4 linked regions of the Saccharomyces cerevisiae S288C genome follow. The protein of the gene in region 4 interacts with the protein of the main gene of each other region in a biochemical or structural test. Each region holds a gene or a part of one and is shown on either strand. Other genes may lie near its edges. The genes, in order: RFC2, CDC5, MMS4 and MUS81.

Region 1 (4,821 bases), on a different chromosome or scaffold from region 4:
TGGCCACTGGTTTCAGTGCAGAATCCTCCCTTTTCAAGCATGAAATCGCCTACGTCTTCGGTCAAATAGGTAGTCCGGCTGCTGTCCCAAGTTTGATTGAAGTTTTGGGCAGAAAGGAAGAAGCTCCAATGGTTAGGCATGAAGCTGCTGAAGCCTTGGGTGCCATTGCTTCTCCAGAAGTTGTCGACGTCTTGAAATCTTACCTCAACGATGAAGTCGATGTCGTCAGAGAATCTTGTATCGTTGCGCTAGATATGTATGATTACGAAAACAGCAACGAACTAGAATATGCTCCAACTGCTAATTAGAAGAATCAGCATCATCAATAATGATAGTAACAATAATCATTGTATAATCTTGTATTTTATACTTTTCAAAACCCGCCATTTCCGTTATATATACAAATGTATCAAATAGCAAAAAAATTATTTATTTTCGAAACCGTTCTCTCGAGCTTCAGCTTTCAACACTGGTCTTCAAAGCATAGGAAACACTCACATAGAGATATCTAAAAACGAACGATAGCAGAATGAGCAACAACGAAATTGTATTTGTCACTGGCAATGCCAACAAGTTAAAGGAAGTGCAGTCGATTTTGACTCAAGAGGTCGACAACAACAACAAAACCATCCACTTAATCAATGAGGCCTTAGACCTGGAAGAATTGCAGGACACGGATCTGAATGCCATTGCGTTAGCTAAGGGAAAGCAAGCTGTTGCGGCCTTGGGTAAGGGTAAGCCAGTGTTTGTGGAAGACACTGCGTTGAGATTTGACGAATTTAACGGTCTACCAGGTGCTTATATAAAATGGTTTTTAAAGAGCATGGGATTGGAAAAAATTGTGAAAATGTTGGAACCCTTTGAAAATAAAAACGCTGAAGCAGTTACCACCATTTGTTTTGCTGATTCTCGGGGTGAATATCACTTCTTTCAAGGTATTACAAGAGGCAAGATCGTTCCAAGCCGGGGACCCACTACATTCGGCTGGGATTCAATTTTTGAACCTTTTGATAGTCATGGACTGACTTACGCAGAGATGAGCAAAGACGCAAAGAATGCTATTTCTCATCGTGGTAAAGCCTTCGCTCAGTTTAAAGAGTACTTGTATCAAAATGACTTTTAGGTGATGTGCTGAGAAGATAAGAGGAATTATGGATAGATTTTTTTTTTTTTATTCTTACTTTATGTCGCCTCTATATTCAATTATATAAAGATGCCTGTATATTAGAGTTGGGATATTTTAACCAATAAGTTTAATAATTGGATGTGCTCGTTCGTTCCGTTGTTTAATCTGGAATCCGTAGTAAACAGCAACCAAGATATTTGATTTTTGAAGTTCGTATCAAAGTTATCGTTGGTGATGTAATATTCATGTAGTTGGTTAACTACTGACGCAGCAGACCAACCGCTTTTCATAAACGTATTGACGTATTTCTTAATCTCATCAAAATCACCACTTTTGACTTTTTCAACAATTTCTATTAGAATGTCATGAGGTACCACACCAGCTAATTCTTCCACTTGGGTAGAAGTTATGTTTTTACCATCACCCAAGTATTGCGCCCCCTTGGAAGCGGATTGTAATAATGTAATGCCTCTTCTCAAGTCACCTGCCGAAATGTCCAAGATCCTTTCCAAAACTCCATCATCACATTTAACATTTTCTTGTTCGCTGATAAACCTCAAACGGTCAATGGCATTACTTGCGTCTAGGGCTTTGAATCTAAATTTGGAACAACGGGACGCTAGCGGGTCAATAATTCTTGTCACATAATTACAAATCAAACAGAATCTTGTTACTCCTGAATAGGTTTCCATTGTTCTACGTAATGCACTCTGTGCATCGGCAGTCATTGAATCGGCCTCATCGAGAATAATGATCTTATACGGTGGGCACGGATAGTTCTCCAAGTCATGTTTGCTAGGCTTGGATACAGTCAATCTTGCAAAATTTTTTACCTTTTCTCTTACAATAGAGATACCACGTTCGTCAGAAGCGTTCAACTCCAATATTCTTGATTTCATCAAGTCGGGTCCATATAATTCTTTTGTTAGCGCTAAAATGGTAGACGTTTTACCAGTTCCTGGGGGACCATAAAACAACATATGTGGTAGATTAGCTGACTTTAAGGTTTTCTTCAAAACAGTAACGGCATGATCTTGAGCTGTCACTTCATCTAGGTTTTTGGGCCTGTATTTCTCAACCCAGGGTTGTTGTGCCAATGATTGCTCTGCGGCTAACTTTGATATCTTACGCTTTTTATTTGGACCAAACCCTTCAAACATCTCAAGTGATTGCCAATACTTTCCCCCAGTATTTCTCGCTGTCTCTCTATTTTACTTCTCTTATAGCATTGACTTGTTCGCTTGAGTTACTTCCTGATTGCTTTGAAATACGCGAAGTAAAAGAGTGAAAAATAACGATGAGAAAGGTTTTTGATAGAAGAGAACAAAAAAGGAACAGTGTTACAATAGTATATAGAGATGTCGAATACTTGGGACGATGTATGGGCATCAGACAGTGATGTCGAAACTGAACGATCTCCAGATTTAGTGAAGTTAAGAGAGAATCATAGCAAGAGGGGGTACTTGGACGGAATAGTGAGTTCTAAAGAAGAAAAGCTGCAAGAGGGTTTCAATGATGGTTTCCCAACGGGCGCTAAATTAGGGAAACAAGTTGGCATAATTATGGGGATTTTACTTGGCCTACGAACACGTTTTGGTGATGAAGATGAGGACCTCAGTAAGGCATATATTGATGCTCAAAAAGAATTACGCATTAACAAAGTACTTAGTAAGTCCATATTTGATCCAAACTTTGACTTGCAAGAAAAACATCCGCTCATAACAAAATGGACTGATATTGCCAATACCTATTGTGAAAAGTACCATGTGCCATCTATCCAATAAAGTTGTTTTAAATGGAGTTGATTTCACAATTTATGTACCTTATATCATCCTTCATTTCACATAATGACGAGATATTACAAAAATAATGATAATAATAATAATAATACACAATACTTGCACACGTATACAAATGCGTAATACAAAAAAAATAAATAGTAAACAAAGCACGAAATGAAAAATGACACCGCAGTCACCAGAATGGGCACCATCCAATATAATGTTGACATAACCTTTCAATAGAAGTGGCTTGTTGGATCAGTTTATCAACCTGCTCAGGGACGTCTAATTCATTGAACCTCTTGATATCATTGCCCGTTAATTTATCTGTAATACGTCTCAAAACAAGCATTGCTCTGGCGTTTTTGGTCTCATTTTGTTGTTCTGCTTCCATATTTGCCGCTTCTTCGACAGTAATTGCCCCCTTCCTTAATAATTCACTAGGATTAATCAACGGCAAAGGAATTCCAGTTTGCTCAGTAAGTTTTTGTGGCGGTAAATCAAATCCCCAATGGATCAAAGGATCAAGCGCAAAAGCTTCCAAGATCGCCATTAATGATTCTTTATTATCTCTTAAGACTCTCATGACATTTTCACAAGTAATTCGGAAACTGCCTTCAATTCCACTAACTTCCATTGCGTATGTTAACATCCTAGTTAGTCTAAATGGCACTTTTTCTGGATACTTTTCTCTTAAGATGGCAGCTTCAAAACAATCGCCGAAATCAATGTGGATAACTTTACCGGTGATTCTATCTAGCATCAGGTTGCTTGGATGGCGATCACCTAGTCCCAGAATATAACCAGTCATGGACATAACTGCTAAAGATCTCGTATAAGTTGTTCTACGTTCTAGCCATGTCTCTGACGACCTACTCTTTAACCATAATATTTTATAAAGGTCTTGGCCTTTTGTATTATCTAAAGCGTACGTGAATACTTCAATTTTTTGTAAAAGAGTCAAATTCTCATAATCGGGGGCCATTTGTAACATAACCCAATGTTCAATGTTCAACGGAATTTTTTTGGCATCACGGTGTTCTCTGATCAAAACGTGGAATGTGTCACTATTTGGTACCCATCCTAGTAAACCAGATTTAGGCGACAATGGAATAGCCGGGTATTGTTGGATATCCAAATGTCTCTTGAAACACTCTGAATCATTCTTCAACAAAGTGTTAACTAGACCAAATAATTGCATAACAAGGCTATCTTGTCTTATATCTTCATGTCCCTTTAAAACGTATTTATAATCTTTACCGTCGCTACCCTTGATGGAGAATTTTCTTGGCCTTTGCTTCGAAGAGATCACAGAAAATAATGGCTCAAACTTCGCTATTCTAATGGTAGGTTTTCCTGGGAAATATGTCCCAGGAACAGCCAATTCGAGATCATGAGTAGCCAGAAGCTGGGGAGAAACATGCTGTAAGTCTAAGGTTTGTAACTGTGGTATTTGACGTGTTATTTTTCTGAAGACGTTATAATAAATATCCCAAGCTTGGTTCAAATTATTGATGTCTTTTGACTTTTTGTAGTTATTCAACCATTCGTAGGCATCGTTCAAATCTCTACCAAATGATTTCTGAAACGATACCTCACTTAACGTTTGAGGCTCATTGCCTAAGTGTTTATGTAAAGGTTCTAAAGTAGAAAACATTTTTTCTATGTTATGTTCAACGAAAAATTGGCGGCTCGCATCTTCCAGTCCTTCATACCATAATTCGTGCCATAGAACGGCTACTCTGATCAACTCGTGACTAACTAATTCTGCCTGGTTTACCAGGACTGGACTATGAATCCTAATTTTCTCTATTATTGAAAGAGCCGCTTTTTGTCTTGAAACAGATTCAGACTTGATCGCGACAGTTAAAGGATACACGAGAGCTTGTGGATGAGCTTTCCCTAAATCAGAAA
Region 2 (5,724 bases), on a different chromosome or scaffold from region 4:
GGATTTTAACTAGGTAACAAAGAATTAGCAAATAACTGCCCATAATAGTATTCTTAAGTTTGTAGATACATGTCAAGTAAGCCAGCTTTTGATAAAACTTAAAAATTGGTAAACCGCGGATGTACCAAGTGAATAGCTTTCAAAATTAATGTTGTCACTCTTCCAATGGGCACCTGTAAGAATAATTAAAAAGAAATCTAGGTTCAAAACAATATTTTTGAGAAAATCTCAGGAAGCGACAGGTTATCATCCCATACATACAATATGAATACAAAAGCATGGCAATTTTGAATAGATATAGCTCTAGAACCGCTCAGGCGAAAAAAAACGCTATATGAGAACTATTGAAAAGGAAGAACTAACATGAAAGATGTTTGTTCATTTCGTACCTTTAGAAAAAGGGTATTAATGCTAGGGGTAAATATTATATATTATCTTCGTTAAGGGCAAGACCATTTATTTTATTTAGTATTAGTTATTAATGGGGCCCAATCAATGGACTGGTAATTTCGTATTCGTATTTCTTTCTACTTTAATATTGGTTTAATCTACGGTAACAATTGTGGACTTCTGCTTCAAACCTTCCTTTATCAAAGTTAGTTTCTCTCTAAAGTTACTTTCTGGATATCCTGGGATCTCGCCATATTTTAGTACTTCAACTAAGGGATATGTGGTGCTTTCATGGGAGGGAGAAATGTAGGTCACCAATTTACCTCCGTCGGATATTGCCATTTTATGATGATCTTTGAAATTGAACTGGAAAGTACCATCACTTAGTTCAAACATAACAAATGGTTTATACCTTGTGTATCTTCTCAAAAATACATCATCTTTATGATATTCTTCTCTGCCAAACGTAGATACTCGGCTCAAATTTGCCTTCATGTACTTGGCAAAAAAATCAACTACTTCTAAATGTCTACTTAGCTCTCGTGGTTTTTCGCTCAATAAATAATGACTTGCTACCCAACCTTCCCGATCGTCATAACTAATATACCAAAACTCTTCTGCATCTGCCAATCGGAGAACTGTGGTGCCATTATTAAATAAGACACCAATATCCTCTGTTGATAACTGATAGGAGAATCCGTGTTTGTTGGAGTAGTCGACCCACTTGGTAACTATCATTGGGTGTTTAATTTTAGGCAATCTTGATTTCGGAAGACCTCCCATTTTATACTGAGCTTCTGCTTCTACAATGCCATTCAAAGTAAGATGACACTCACTGGCTAATATTCTCAAGGAGATTTCTGATTTAATGACATTGGTCGATGTAGCTATTAATTCTTTTCTCAAAACGGCCTGTTGTGCTCTACGTATCCTTGCTTCACGAGCCAAATCGTTTAATCTTCTTTGTGCCTCTATATCAACAACCTCCTTATATTTCTGTTTCGTCCCGCCAGGGGATAAAGAATGTGGTAAAAATGGTCTGTTTTGGTGGTACTCTTCTAGTTTATCGATACTAGATTTAATTGAAGAAATATAATCCCTCTTTTGACGCTGAATTTTATCGCTGCTCATGCTTTCTAATAGTAGAGATTTTTCCATGCAATCTTTGAAGTTAACCAGTGACTGCTCTTCAGGAATATCCTCAAAATTTGGTGCTTCTGACATGACCGTCGAAGGAATAGATGGTGGGAAAGTTCCCCTAAACCATACATAATCCATAATTTCAGTCAAAGAGGGCCTTTCTATTGGATCTAAGGATAGAATGTCTCTTATTAAAATCTTACCTTCATCTGAGATTGGTTTATCTCTTGGAAACGAAAAATCACGACATTTGATTCTTTCATAAATAGTGTTTACATCTCTTGCTTGGAAGGGTGGCTTACCAATCAACAAAGCATAAAGCATAACACCTAATGACCAAATATCTACTTCAAATGAATGTCCAGAATGCTTACCCATCAACACTTCAGGTGCGATGTAATTAGGTGTTCCGCATATGGTGTATTTACGTTCACTTTCATTCGCCAACACAGCTGCCAGACCGAAGTCACCAATCTTTAAGTTATAGTTTGAATCGAAGAAGATGTTACCAAGTTTTAAATCTCTATGTATAACTCTTCTTGAATGCATATACTTAATTGCACCACATATTTGAGTGGTGAAAAATCTAACTTCTGGTTCTGTTAAAACTTTTCTTCTTTTTAGTAATTCCATTAATGAACCGTTGGGGCATATCTCCAATAAGATATAGACATTGCTATCATCCTCAAAACAATCAATAAACTGAACGATATTTGGATGGGACATACTTTTATGAATTTGAATCTCCGACAACAACTTTTTTCTTGTCTTCTCTGATTTAATTGAGGCTTTAGCAACTGTTTTGGCAGCAAAAATTTCGCCTGAATCGTCCTTAATTTGGAAACAGCGAGCAAATCCACCTTCACCTAAAAAATGACCTCGGTGATAGTCTTTTCCTCTTGTTTTGATTAATGAAGGTGGTGTTTTACACAAAGCTGATAACTTTTCCCTTTTCTTTTTTTGAGCTGGCTGGTGGTGATGATCATTATTCGGATCTAGTCTCTTTGTTTGTTTAAAGTGATTTTCTTTTCCTACGAGGTCTGCGGTATTTCCCTTTATTGGGGTGTGAACTAACTTGGAACGGGTATTCAATTGCTTATCATTGATAGCTTTAAGAGGACCCAACGACATCTTTATTCGACTTGATCTTACTCTGTTCTTTCTTCTCCACGGCTGTGATTTTTATTCTCTATGAATAACAAATGTAACGTTTATCGATGAATGAAAGAGAGTATATATAGAGAAGATATAAGAAAGCCAATGTTTTTGTGTACAAAAAATAATACTCAGCTCAATTATACAAACTTGACTATGCAGTTTAGCTTTTTTGTCTTTTCTTTTTTAAGTTTTCTTGAAAGTTAATGTAGTATATGCCACAAAATTGAAGGATGAAAAAATAGGAAAAAAAGCAGAATCAGAATTTGACACAAAAGGCTTATTGTTCTTTGAAACTGCCGCTTGAATTGGATTTACTTTCTCAGTGATTCTATATGTATTGTACGAAAGTTGAGTAGCACAAGAGTAACTGTTCAAGATATGCCTTGTTTCAAAGGATGTACATTCAAAGATCATCCCAGGTCCTCGAGATATTTATTCGTTCTATATTTTGGATTTTCTTTATTGGGTTTGTTTTGTTTTGACCCTTTTAGGTAATATCTTTTGACAGAGAAAAGTCCAAAAGTTCTTCCGGGTGATGCTACATAATGCCCTACCCGGGCAACATATAGAATAAGGTATATAAAGTAATAATATGCAGTGAAGTTACCACCGGGTAACGCATCTAGAACAGCTGAGATGAAAGAGGATAGGCTTGATCGCAGATTTTGCCCGCCCTATCTTTTCAATGTTCCTTCAACAATAACATAAATTTTGATGTAAAAATATGCTGGCGTCCTCGTACGATTCCCTCTTCATTTATCACAGAAGATGGTGATGATTCTACACATCTGGAAGGCAATAACAGTGCAACTTCATTTTCCGAGGTTCGGTTATGTCATGTGTGCTTTTATACGGCAAACGCCACCTTGAACAAAGGTATAAAAGAAAAGCGCTTTTTCACTCCACCGCAATCTCCGCGACCTATATAAGCCTATCACTCGTACAGTTTATAACCTTTAAGAAAAAGGATTAATATTTCGAACAAAGAACAGAACAAGAAAAGCAACAACAGCAACAAAATTCTAAAATATGGCACGTTCAAGAGGATCATCAAGACCTATATCGAGATCGAGACCTACTCAGACAAGGTCCGCTTCTACCATGGCGGCTCCAGTTCATCCACAACAACAACAACAACCAAATGCCTATTCACACCCTCCTGCTGCAGGTGCCCAAACGAGACAGCCAGGTATGTTTGCGCAGATGGCCTCCACTGCTGCAGGTGTTGCCGTTGGTAGCACCATTGGACACACCCTAGGTGCAGGTATTACCGGTATGTTTTCCGGATCCGGGTCTGATTCCGCTCCTGTTGAGCAACAACAGCAAAATATGGCCAACACCTCCGGCCAAACCCAAACGGACCAGCAGTTGGGAAGAACTTGTGAAATAGACGCGAGAAACTTTACACGTTGTTTGGATGAAAACAACGGCAACTTCCAGATATGTGATTATTACTTGCAGCAACTAAAAGCCTGCCAGGAAGCTGCACGTCAATACTAAGTTTAAAAGCTCAAAAATTTAGAAAATATTCACTAAAATCATACATTTCGGTAATGTTCTTGTTTTAACCATGTCATTTGACTTATTTTTTTTTGATGGTTTTTCACAGAATCGCATACTCCACGTGAGAACAAGAAAAAATGAAAGGAATAAGGACTAAATGTCTTATATATATGGATATTTATTTGTTTTATTTTGTATGTAAATAACTTTTATAAATCAAATCATCCAATTTATTGACTTCATAATCATTTAATCATCTGCACCCCCACCGCGCGGTGTGGCTGACATTTCCTATGAAGTTCTCAACAGGGGAGGGTAACGTAGTACCTTCGAAGAGTTTGTTTATTTACTATATTTTATGCTCTTCTTCAGAAGGGCCTGTGATACGCATGTTTCTCAAAAAGACACCTAGTGCAGCTGAACCGGCAAAGTAAAGCTTCTGAAAGAAGACATGTCAATTTCTCTATTAGGTAGAATTGTTTCACAACAATTCTCCGGCATACGGGCGGCTGAGCCAGGGAGATCTCTATATTTACCGTTTACCTTACTATTGAAACAGCCCGGTGCTTACAAGGTGAGCCTACACAGATATGTACATAGCACCCAAACGAAGAGCCACTTGAGCTTTTTAATGAATAATAACGATATAACACCTTTTCAAAAATTTACAGTTAAAGTTCTCAAAGAGCAGTGCAAATCAAGAGGGTTAAAATTATCAGGTCGCAAATCAGATTTGCTACAAAGACTTATCACGCACGATTCATGTTCAAATAAAAAAAGTAGTGTGAAGATAAATGAACCCAAAAAAAAGAGGATATTAATAAATGATCCAATCAAAATCACGAAGAAATTGGTTAGTGATAAAACTTTTAGAACTATTGAAAAAAATATTTCTTCACTGCAGAACACACCTGTTATCGAAACTCCCTGCGACGTTCATTCACACTTGCAACCAAGGGATAGAATATTCTTATTAGGATTTTTCATGTTATCGTGTCTTTGGTGGAACCTCGAACCTCAGGAATCTAAACCTACCATTGACCATTAGAAATATAATTCTAGCACTGTAATTAATTGAACTGTATATTCTTTCATAATTTATTAAGACACTTTTACTTTTCTCTACGCTCTCAATAAGTTATTGTTGATCCAGATCATCTCGATATTGCCGTCATTTTCGGTTAAGGTAGGCGCTTTTACGAAACACATGCCAGAAAAAAAAGTGAGGAAGGAAGGTACAATGAAAACAGGGTGAACGCCACTTCTTTTCACCCAAGTTGTAAGAGAAATAATAGTAAAAGCAATCGAATTTGGATTCTATAAAACACCACTGAGGCGAAAAAAAAAGTAATGGACAATTACGAAGGCAGTGATCCTTGGAATACCAGTTCTAATGCATGGACTAAGGATGATGATCACGTCGTTTCTACCACCAATAGTGAACCCAGCCTCAACGGAATCTCTGGTGAGTTTAACACCTTGAACTTTTCAACACCTCTGGACACAAATGAGGAGGATACTGGTTTTTTACCG
Region 3 (5,035 bases), on a different chromosome or scaffold from region 4:
AGTGAGAAAGATAGCAATAAGCTAAATATTAACGGTAGCAAACAGCTATCTACCGTCATGGACATAAATGGATCACTAATATTCAAAAATAAGTCCATTGCCACTACTACTTCTAATTTGAAGAACGTTTTTGTTCAGTTAGAACCAACGTCCTATCACATGCATTCTCCAAATCATGGCTTGAAAGATAATGCAAATGTTAAACCAGAAAGGAAGGTAGTCGTCAGCAACAGCTATGAAGGCGACGTTGAAAGCATAGAAAAATTCCTATCGACTTTCAAAATTTTACCTCCTCTGAGAGATTATAAGGAGTTTGGGCCTATTCAAGAGATTGTACGGAGTCCAAACATGGGTAATTTGAGGGGCAAGTTGATAGCTACTTTGATGGAAAACGAACCCAATTCTATTACGTCTTCTGCTGTTTCTCCAGGAGAAACACCCTATTTAATAACAGGTTCAGATCAAGGTGTAATCAAGATTTGGAACCTGAAAGAGATTATCGTGGGCGAGGTTTACTCTTCTTCTTTAACTTATGACTGCTCCTCTACCGTAACTCAGATAACCATGATTCCTAACTTTGACGCGTTTGCCGTTTCCAGTAAAGATGGACAAATAATTGTATTAAAGGTTAATCATTACCAACAAGAAAGTGAAGTCAAATTTTTGAATTGCGAATGCATCAGGAAAATTAACTTGAAGAATTTTGGTAAAAATGAATACGCAGTGAGAATGAGAGCATTTGTGAATGAGGAAAAATCTCTACTAGTAGCATTGACGAATTTGTCAAGGGTTATTATATTTGATATTAGAACCCTGGAGAGGTTACAAATTATAGAGAATTCTCCAAGGCATGGTGCCGTTTCAAGCATCTGTATCGATGAAGAGTGTTGTGTCCTAATTTTGGGGACGACTAGAGGTATTATTGATATATGGGATATCCGTTTCAACGTGCTGATAAGGAGTTGGTCCTTTGGGGACCACGCACCAATCACGCATGTGGAGGTTTGTCAGTTTTATGGAAAGAATTCTGTAATTGTTGTAGGAGGTAGTTCAAAAACATTTCTAACAATATGGAATTTTGTTAAGGGGCATTGTCAGTATGCTTTCATAAATTCTGATGAACAGCCATCTATGGAGCACTTTTTACCAATTGAGAAAGGCTTAGAAGAATTAAATTTTTGTGGAATCAGGTCTTTAAACGCACTAAGCACTATCTCAGTATCTAATGATAAAATTCTTCTTACCGATGAAGCAACAAGTTCCATTGTTATGTTTAGCCTAAATGAGCTTTCTTCTTCTAAAGCAGTAATAAGTCCTTCAAGATTCAGTGACGTTTTTATTCCTACACAAGTTACGGCAAATCTCACAATGTTATTGAGAAAAATGAAACGTACTAGCACTCATTCAGTAGATGATTCTCTATATCATCATGATATTATAAATTCTATATCTACATGTGAAGTTGATGAGACACCTTTGCTGGTTGCTTGTGATAACTCAGGGCTTATTGGAATCTTCCAATAATTTTTTTTATTTTATTCAGCTTCTTTATTCTAAATGCGTATAAATTTGTATTCACCTTAAACATTTTCGATCATTTAGGAAAGGGCTTGCAACGCGTTGAAGTACCCTTTTCACGAAAAAAATGGTTGTATACGTAAATAAAGAACAATGTATGGATTATGGTATAGAATAATAGTAGTCACATATTGCAGCTAGTTAAATGAGCCAGATCGTTGATTTTGTTGAGGACAAAGATTCAAGAAACGATGCCAGTATTCAGATCATCGATGGACCCTCAAATGTTGAAATTATCGCTCTCTCGGAATCAATGGATCAAGATGAGTGCAAAAGGGCACATGTAAGCTCTGCAGAGATGATTCCATCATCACCGCAAAGAAAATCTGTTTCGAATGATGTTGAGAATGTTGACCTAAACAAATCTATCGAACTTTCTGCGCCGTTCTTCCAAGATATCAGTATAAGCAAGCTAGATGACTTTTCTACAACAGTAAATTCCATCATAGATTCGTCTCTCAGAAATGAGAATAATGCAAAAGGAAACGCGAAAAAACTTTTGGATGATCTAATAAGTGATGAATGGTCAGCTGATCTTGAGTCGAGTGGAAAGAAGCACAACAAATCACAATACAATTTGAGGGACATCGCAGAGAAATGGGGAGTACAGTCTTTAAAAAATCCAGAGCCTATTGCTGTTGACTGCGAATATAAGACACAAGGAATCGGAAAAACCAATAGTGACATTAGTGATAGTCCGAAATCACAGATAGGAGCAGCTGATATACTGTTCGATTTTCCACTGTCTCCAGTAAAACATGAGAACCCAACTGAAGAAAAGCACAATTCGATTGCTAATGAAAATTCTTCACCAGATAATAGCCTGAAACCAGCAGGAAAACAAAATCATGGTGAAGATGGGACATCCATGGCAAAAAGGGTATACAATAAAGGTGAAGACGAGCAAGAACACCTTCCGAAAGGAAAGAAGAGAACCATAGCGTTATCAAGAACACTAATCAACAGCACCAAACTACCTGATACAGTAGAACTAAATCTTTCTAAATTTCTCGATTCCTCAGATAGTATTACTACTGATGTACTTTCAACCCCTGCAAAGGGGTCTAACATAGTAAGGACAGGTAGTCAACCAATCTTTAGCAACGCTAATTGTTTTCAGGAAGCAAAACGCTCGAAAACATTAACGGCTGAGGATCCCAAATGTACTAAAAATACTGCCAGAGAGGTATCACAACTAGAGAATTATATTGCCTATGGGCAATACTATACTAGAGAAGACTCAAAAAACAAAATACGACACTTGTTAAAAGAAAACAAAAATGCTTTTAAGCGAGTTAACCAGATATATCGAGATAATATAAAAGCACGCTCTCAAATGATTATAGAGTTTTCGCCTAGCCTTCTCCAGTTATTTAAAAAAGGAGACAGTGATCTGCAACAACAATTGGCACCAGCAGTTGTGCAATCAAGCTATAACGATTCTATGCCGCTTTTAAGATTTCTTCGAAAATGTGACAGTATTTACGACTTTAGTAACGATTTCTATTACCCCTGTGATCCCAAAATAGTTGAAGAAAACGTTTTGATTCTATATTATGATGCGCAAGAATTTTTTGAACAATACACTTCACAAAAGAAAGAATTATATAGGAAGATACGATTTTTCTCAAAGAATGGAAAACATGTGATTCTTATACTAAGCGATATAAATAAACTCAAAAGAGCTATTTTCCAATTAGAAAATGAAAAGTACAAAGCTAGGGTAGAACAACGATTGTCAGGAACAGAAGAAGCTTTAAGACCGAGAAGTAAAAAATCAAGCCAAGTTGGAAAATTAGGGATAAAAAAATTTGATTTAGAGCAACGATTGCGCTTCATTGATAGAGAATGGCATGTCAAAATACATACTGTAAATTCACATATGGAGTTTATTAATTCTCTGCCGAACCTAGTGTCATTAATTGGAAAACAGCGCATGGATCCCGCAATTCGGTATATGAAATATGCTCATTTGAATGTAAAATCCGCTCAGGATAGTACAGAAACGCTAAAGAAAACCTTTCATCAGATAGGGAGAATGCCTGAAATGAAGGCGAATAATGTCGTGAGCCTATACCCCAGTTTTCAATCATTACTTGAAGATATTGAAAAGGGAAGACTGCAATCAGACAACGAAGGTAAATACTTGATGACTGAGGCAGTAGAAAAAAGATTGTACAAACTGTTTACTTGTACTGATCCAAATGATACTATTGAATGATGATCGAACGAAACTTTGTATATAAGAACATACCTTAAGGCAGTCGTTTTGAAAATCACTGCAGCTCTATTTCCCCCTCCTTACCTTTTTAATGAATTCCATTTTACAGAAAGTACTATTGATAAATATTCGTAATAAAATAAAACAGTGTTAATAATAAATGTTCGAGATTCCGGTTAAAGATAATATGAAATGGTGAATGTAATATCATTTTATTTCTACGGACGTAATCATAATACATACTTTACGGCTAAATAATCGTCTTCATTAAGTCTGTCCTTTAGAGGCTCGATATGTTTGTAACCTTCGTTCAATTTGTGCAATTCCTGTTCATTAAATTTTATTCCGGAAGATATCAGGTGAGAGAGAAAAGACAGAACTCTATCTATGATGTTCAAGTTACTCTCGTCAGACAAGCACTCAATCGTACTTTCAATTACTCCATCCTTTCTCAGCACACTGATTATATTTTCATCAATCTTAACAGATGACAAATATGCGGTCAATAAGGCAATGGCTCTCATTTTCAGTTTTGGTTTGGCGGTGTTATCACTTAATACAGGTGCTATGCAGTCGAGCCCATTTAATTTGAAAAACTTTTCTGAGATATCTTTGTGGTTTCTTATTAGATTAGATAGTGCGTAAAAAGCTTTTGTTCTCACGTCGAGTGGCTTTGTCTTGTCACTAGCTATTTCGATAAGGCTTCGCAGACCATTGTCGTATTTCATGAAATTATTTTGCGAATCCAAGTTGTTTTGCACAGCCGTTCCAATAATGGATAAAGCAGCAGCACGTAGTTCTTCATCCTTCGTCTGAACAAGAACATCCAACAATGGCTCCCACAGTTTTAAATTTTCGATATTATTAGCATTATCTAAGTTCTCAATCAACATTTCAAAGTTGTCAAATGCAACGAGTTTTGTTTCTAAGTCAACCTCCGGATTCATAATAACAGCCATGGATTCTTTCATTAAGGTTGGATCGTCAGGACCACCACCACCGAATAACTGCTGTAGCAATTTAGGATCAGGTTGGCCGGCCCTAGCCATAGCTTCTTTGTCCCCTTGAGAATTCGCAATAGACCACTGTAATAGCTTTTCCATAGTTATGTATGTGTTTTTTTTTCTATTTTACTCTTTCGTTGAAAGGTAATGGCTTTCTGACTGACGATGAGTGCTCTTTTAGATATAGCCAATCGCTGGTTTATAAGCAAATTTCTGTCAGCGCGAGATGCCT
Region 4 (5,356 bases):
TATCTCCCAGGTAACATCCAATACTGCCAATGACATCGAGCAACTCCCATATGCTTTAACGTTCAAAACGTCGTTAATCTTCGTTGGTGCTACCATTGGTGGGCTTTTATTCGGCTATGATACTGGTGTTATATCAGGTGTTCTGCTTTCTTTAAAGCCCGAAGATCTATCTTTGGTAGTTTTAACGGATGTTCAGAAGGAGCTGATAACTTCCAGTACAAGCGTCGGATCATTTTTTGGCTCTATTCTGGCATTTCCTTTAGCAGATAGGTATGGAAGAAGAATTACTCTCGCAATCTGCTGTTCAATTTTTATCCTAGCTGCAATTGGAATGGCTATAGCAAGAACATTGACGTTTTTGATTTGTGGGAGATTGCTGGTTGGGATCGCTGTTGGAGTGTCTGCCCAGTGCGTCCCTCTATTTCTGAGTGAAATTTCACCTTCCAGAATCAGGGGTTTTATGTTGACATTGAACATTATTGCCATCACTGGAGGTCAATTGGTTTCCTATGTGATTGCGTCCCTTATGAAAGAGATTGATAATTCATGGAGATATTTGTTCGCACTTTCTGCTATTCCAGCTATTCTGTTCCTTTCAATACTGGATTTTATCCCTGAATCGCCACGATGGTCCATTTCCAAGGGAGACATTCTATATACCAGGGATTCTCTAAGAATGCTATATCCTACTGCATCTACATATCATGTGAATAGTAAAATTAAGCAGCTGATAATTGAACTCGATAAGTTACGACTATACGAAGATGCAAGTGAACCTTTACTAGTACAGTCCCAATCGGTTATTCGATACATGGATAGTTCAACCTCAGGAACTCTTAGCCCACCTAACATTAAAAGACTTTCCTCGAACACAGAAAGAACTAGCAACACAATGTCCTCCTCATCAGCATATCTATCGGCGTTGCGAGGCCCAGCTCCAAACGGTGCCCTGGCATCTAACAAAAAGAAAAGACACAGAATGGAGCCACGCACAATAAGAGCGTTAATAGTAGGTTGCATGTTAATGTTTTTCCAGCAAATCACTGGCTTTAATGCTTTTATGTACTATGCGGCAATAATATTTTCCAAATTTAATATAAAAAACCCTCTACTGCCTCCAATTTTGATTGCCTCAACGAACTTCATATTCACTTTTTTCGCCATGTACACCATGGACTCTTTGGGAAGAAGAGCCATTCTTTTGAGAACAATTTTGATTATGACTGTTGGGTTACTTCTTTGCAGTGTAGGTTTCGGTCATGACCAAGTCAATTTACTTTTAATTTCTGTTGTAATTTATGTTGCAGCATATGCTTCTGCGATGGGCAGCGTTCCATGGACCTGTGTGGAATTTCTCCCCTTGAACAGGAGATCATTTGGGGCATCATGTATAGCCTGCACAAATTGGTTGACCAATGCATTTGTTTCAATGACATATCTGAGCACTATTAACACCATTGGTGATGAAAATACAATGCTCATTTTTGCTTTTTTCACAGTTTGTGCCTGGTTTTTCGTATATTTTTGGTATCCAGAAGTCAAAGGTTTGTCACTGGAAGAGGTTGGAAGGGTTTTTGATAATGGAATTGATGTTCATTATGTCTTTCGTACCTACCATTGATGAGTTGTCAAGTGGCATCATAATGCATTGGGGCGGCTTTCAGATATGCTTCTGGTATATTTGTCCGTGAGAAATTAAGGCTTCTTTTCTTATATATGTATATATTAGTTAAAAGAATATCATCACTTTTTTCTTTATAAAACCTTGCAGGGATGACTATATTTCAAATTGCTAAAGTTTACCAAAAGCATCATATATCTTTTCTGAAAGAGATTTAGTAATTTTCTTCGCACCAGGTGCATCTCCCAGTACATTAAACATCAACAATTTAGCCTCTTCTTCCGAGGAGCACGTTTTATATGCCATTAGTATTTTATTCAGGGTAGGAAATATTTCTTGGATGGCTACTGCTTTTTCTAAAGATATACCTTTAACAAGCATTAAAACATGTATAGTTAGCTCACCAACCGTCTTTAGATCGCCTTTTCCCATTAGTTCTTGAAAGCATTCAAGATTATGACAGCATTCAATACCGCCTTTTCGTTCGAATTCTCGACGAAACTGTAGAAGCACCTTTTTATAATCGTCCTTGCTTTTAAGGTCACTTGGAAATATAACTATGAGATCTTTTTGAGAATAGTGATGAGAAATTACAGTATGCAACGCATGTATCTTTTCCACAGTTTCATCCGAATTGCAAGTTCTTATCATGGAGAATTTGTAATACACTAAAATGACCCAAAGCGCGGTCTTTAGGGCCTCATTCATATTTCCAATGTTGCCACTCATAGTCTCCTCAATGAGATAGTATTTGTGTTCACAGCCAGATTTCTCTAACCTATTTTTTTGCTCCATAAACCTGTTATCCCTTATACTTAAAGCTAAATCGTCTAGCCTTTTTCTTTCAACTATGGTGTTGAGCACACACTGCAACCCGGTATTTTTATTCTTGGCAACCCATATAATATCACCCAAAGCGAGTTGCCTTATCTCTGACTTCATACCTTTTCTTTCAAATGCCCTTGAAAAAAACTCACGATCAGATTGTGACTTTATTTCTCTGTGATCAATAATTGGGAAAACTTCGAAATCACCACTACACCACAATTCGTAACTTACTCCGTTGTACCTTCTCCTCTTTATTGTGCTTTTAGCCTTTAATGCGGAATCAGGTACTGTTTGATCATCAGAGACCTCTTCCAATTTATGAGAAGATATATTAGTTTGGCTATTCAGTCTATCATTTTTAAATACATTGTTCTGCAGCCTTTGCGGCGTGCTCAAATCTTGAAAAGTTATATCCAGCATGAATGAAGTGTTATTTATATCGCAGGGCTCTTCTTCCTTACCATATTCACCACGGAGGTCAGTCAGATTTGCTGTGAATTCACTACTTTCATTCCTGGTTACGGAATACTCGTTAGGTTCTTCATTTTCTTTTGGAAAAGAGATTCCGTCTGCCGTCTTTAAGCTCTTTGTTAGTTCTACACCTTCCTCTGTTAGCGAATACCGTTTTGGTCTACCTTCCTCAAGAACCAACGAATGTTTTTTAAGTGCAGCAATAGACGACCAAGCACCGTAGAATTCTTTTGTGGAGAAATTTGGAGTCATACAATGGTCACTGTATTTTCCTGCAACCTCGATGATTTGCTCTTTACTAACGCCTCGAGGAATGGCATTAAGCTCGAGTAAGGAAAGAAGGATAGCGTAGCCTCCAGATCTTTTTTTGGGTATATACTTCCTAGTTTTTCTCTTTTTAGTTCCCTTCTCTTCGGGAGCTTCATTCTTATCATTTTCGCATGAGTTTACTATGCTACGCAAAGCTGTAGTAGTCCTCTTTGGTGGTCTGGTGCTACTTGTCTGAGTTAAGGAAGGAGCCTCAACGGGAGATATGTGGTGAATTTTGCAATAGTTCCGTAATTTCGTATCTAATCTCTTTATTATTGTATTGCCAATTCCCTTAACTTTCTTTAGATCTGTAGGATAATAAAATGAACCTTCAGCATTTTGTAAATTCCTTTTTGCTTTTTCATAGGCTATTTTGAGTTGTTCTTGTTTAGGGGTTAATCCGTCAACTAATTCTTGTAACCATTCAATATATAGGTCTTTTAAGTTTGATGAGAGTTCCATGCTTTCATGCTAGGAATGTGTGTTCGTATCAATCCTTTGAAACTTTGTTTACGCCAATGTTGATGCCACTCTTAAAGGGCATTACCGCGATCGGTAAGAAAAGAAGTTGATGACGCGAATAGGCAAAGCAAGATAAATCATAGTAACTATTATACAGGGGAAGGCAGATATCTAATATGGAAATATGATTAAATATGAAATAACACTATAGATGGTAAGTATACGTGAGAATAAACTACAAAAAAGTCAAAAGGACATAAAAGGTGCCCAATACATTACGACAAAAACTGAAAAAGTTAAATAATTAAAAATTGTTTAACCATTCTTACAATTTGTCGTAATATTCTTGCCAGCCTGGAACTTCTTCCTTCATACCGTGTCTCTTACGAGCAGCAAGAACAATTTCACCAGCCTTAGAGGTTGGGTCCAATGGGTCAGAACCTAAAGTGGACCAATGGTCGAAAACCATTTGTGGGAAAGCTTGACCACCAGTAGCTTGTCTCAATTCACCAGTGAAACCGAAAGATTCGTTAACTGGCAAGTAGGCCTTGACGGTAAACAATGGAGTACCTGGTCTTTGTTCTTCAGAAACGACTTGACCTCTCTTCTTGTTTAAGACGGAGTAGATACCACCGACGGCTTGTTCTGGACATTGAATTTCGACCAAGAAAACTGGTTCTTGGATCTTTGGATCAGCCAACAAGAAACCAGCGTAAGTAGCTCTTCTCATGGTTGGGATGATTTGACCACCACCTCTGTGGATAGCATCGGCATGTAAAGTAACATCCAAAATGTTAACTCTGACAGATCTCATTTCTTCACCGAAAATTGGACCTTCCTTGGTAGCCCATTGGAAAGCAGCAACAACGGAATCCTTGATTTCGTGCAAGTATTGGACAGCCTTAGTTTGGTCAATAACCAAGTTTGGACCGTTACCGTCTGGACCGAAACACCAGATCTTTCTGGCATCGGTGACATCCCAACCGTAGTCGTCAGCCATGATTCTAGCTCTGGCCTTGAAATCATCTCTTGGGTTGATGATACCGTTTTCAATAGCCAAAGAGACTTCTTCGTCAATTGGTTCAGCCTTCAAGTAGATTCTGTTATGCTTGTTTGGAGACTTGGACAAAGCAGTTTGAGAAGATTCACTTTCAACAGTTTCTCTGTAAGCGACAACTGGTGGGGAGATCTTCAATGGAACACCAGCGTGGTCGTGTTCCAAATCTTGCAAACAAATTTCCAAATGCAATTCACCGGTACCAGCAACGATATGTTCACCGGATTCAGACATATAGGTCAAGACACATGGATCAGACTTGGACAATCTCTTCAAACCTTCGACCAATTTTGGTAAGTCGTTAGCGTTCTTGACTTCGACAGCGACTTGCACAACTGGAGAGACAGAGAATTTCATGACCTTCATGTTGTGAGCAGTTTCACTGGTGGTCAAAGTACCAGTCTTCAACAAGAATTGATCGATACCGACTAAACCGATAATGTTACCGGCTGGACAGTCATCGATTGGTTCGACAAATCTACCCATCATCAAAACAACTCTTTGAATGGCCTTGATGAACAAATCGTCCTTCTTACCTGGAACGTAGTTTGGACCTTGGATTCTGACCTTTTGACCGGACTTAACAGTACCGGCAAAAACTCTACCGA

What was found.
Region 1: the proteins of MUS81 (region 4) and RFC2 form a complex in vitro, tested with the Saccharomyces cerevisiae proteins (one study listed by BioGRID).
Region 2: of the proteins of MUS81 (region 4) and CDC5, one has a biochemical effect on the other in vitro, tested with the Saccharomyces cerevisiae proteins (2 studies listed by BioGRID).
Region 3: the proteins of MUS81 (region 4) and MMS4 form a complex in vitro, tested with the Saccharomyces cerevisiae proteins (5 studies listed by BioGRID, with this or other methods).

The regions. Positions count from the first base shown.
Region 1 is NC_001142.9:565,108-569,928, reverse strand, and holds RFC2 (replication factor C subunit 2), read right to left. Parts: upstream 2,287-4,821; coding exon 1,225-2,286; downstream 1-1,224. Other genes in the region: LIA1 (deoxyhypusine monooxygenase), read left to right, coding at 1-308; nucleoside triphosphate pyrophosphohydrolase HAM1, read left to right, coding at 530-1,123; YAE1 (Yae1p), read left to right, coding at 2,485-2,910; phosphatidylinositol kinase-related protein kinase TOR1, read right to left, coding at 3,101-4,821. UniProt on the Saccharomyces cerevisiae protein: Component of ATP-dependent clamp loader (RFC and RFC-like) complexes for DNA clamps, such as the POL30/PCNA homotrimer and the checkpoint clamp DDC1:MEC3:RAD17 complex.
Region 2 is NC_001145.3:268,476-274,199, forward strand, and holds CDC5 (polo kinase CDC5), read right to left. Parts: upstream 2,662-5,724; coding exon 544-2,661; downstream 1-543. Other genes in the region: YMR001C-A (uncharacterized protein), read right to left, coding at 2,872-3,102; MIX17 (Mix17p), read left to right, coding at 3,718-4,188; AIM34 (Aim34p), read left to right, coding at 4,643-5,239; MVP1 (Mvp1p), read left to right, coding at 5,542-5,724. UniProt on the Saccharomyces cerevisiae protein: Protein kinase required for the cell cycle where it is involved in mitotic exit. A component of the fear (CDC14 early anaphase release) network which promotes CDC14 release from the nucleolus during early anaphase. Phosphorylates SCC1/MCD1 and NET1.
Region 3 is NC_001134.8:439,792-444,826, forward strand, and holds MMS4 (Mms4p), read left to right. Parts: upstream 1-1,723; coding exon 1,724-3,799; downstream 3,800-5,035. Other genes in the region: ubiquitin-binding serine/threonine protein kinase VPS15, read left to right, coding at 1-1,524; Hsp70 nucleotide exchange factor FES1, read right to left, coding at 4,030-4,902. UniProt on the Saccharomyces cerevisiae protein: Interacts with MUS81 to form a DNA structure-specific endonuclease with substrate preference for branched DNA structures with a 5'-end at the branch nick.
Region 4 is NC_001136.10:1,244,419-1,249,774, reverse strand, and holds MUS81 (Mus81p), read right to left. Parts: upstream 3,692-5,356; coding exon 1,793-3,691; downstream 1-1,792. Other genes in the region: CIN10 (Cin10p), read left to right, coding at 1-1,621; EFT2 (elongation factor 2), read right to left, coding at 4,017-5,356.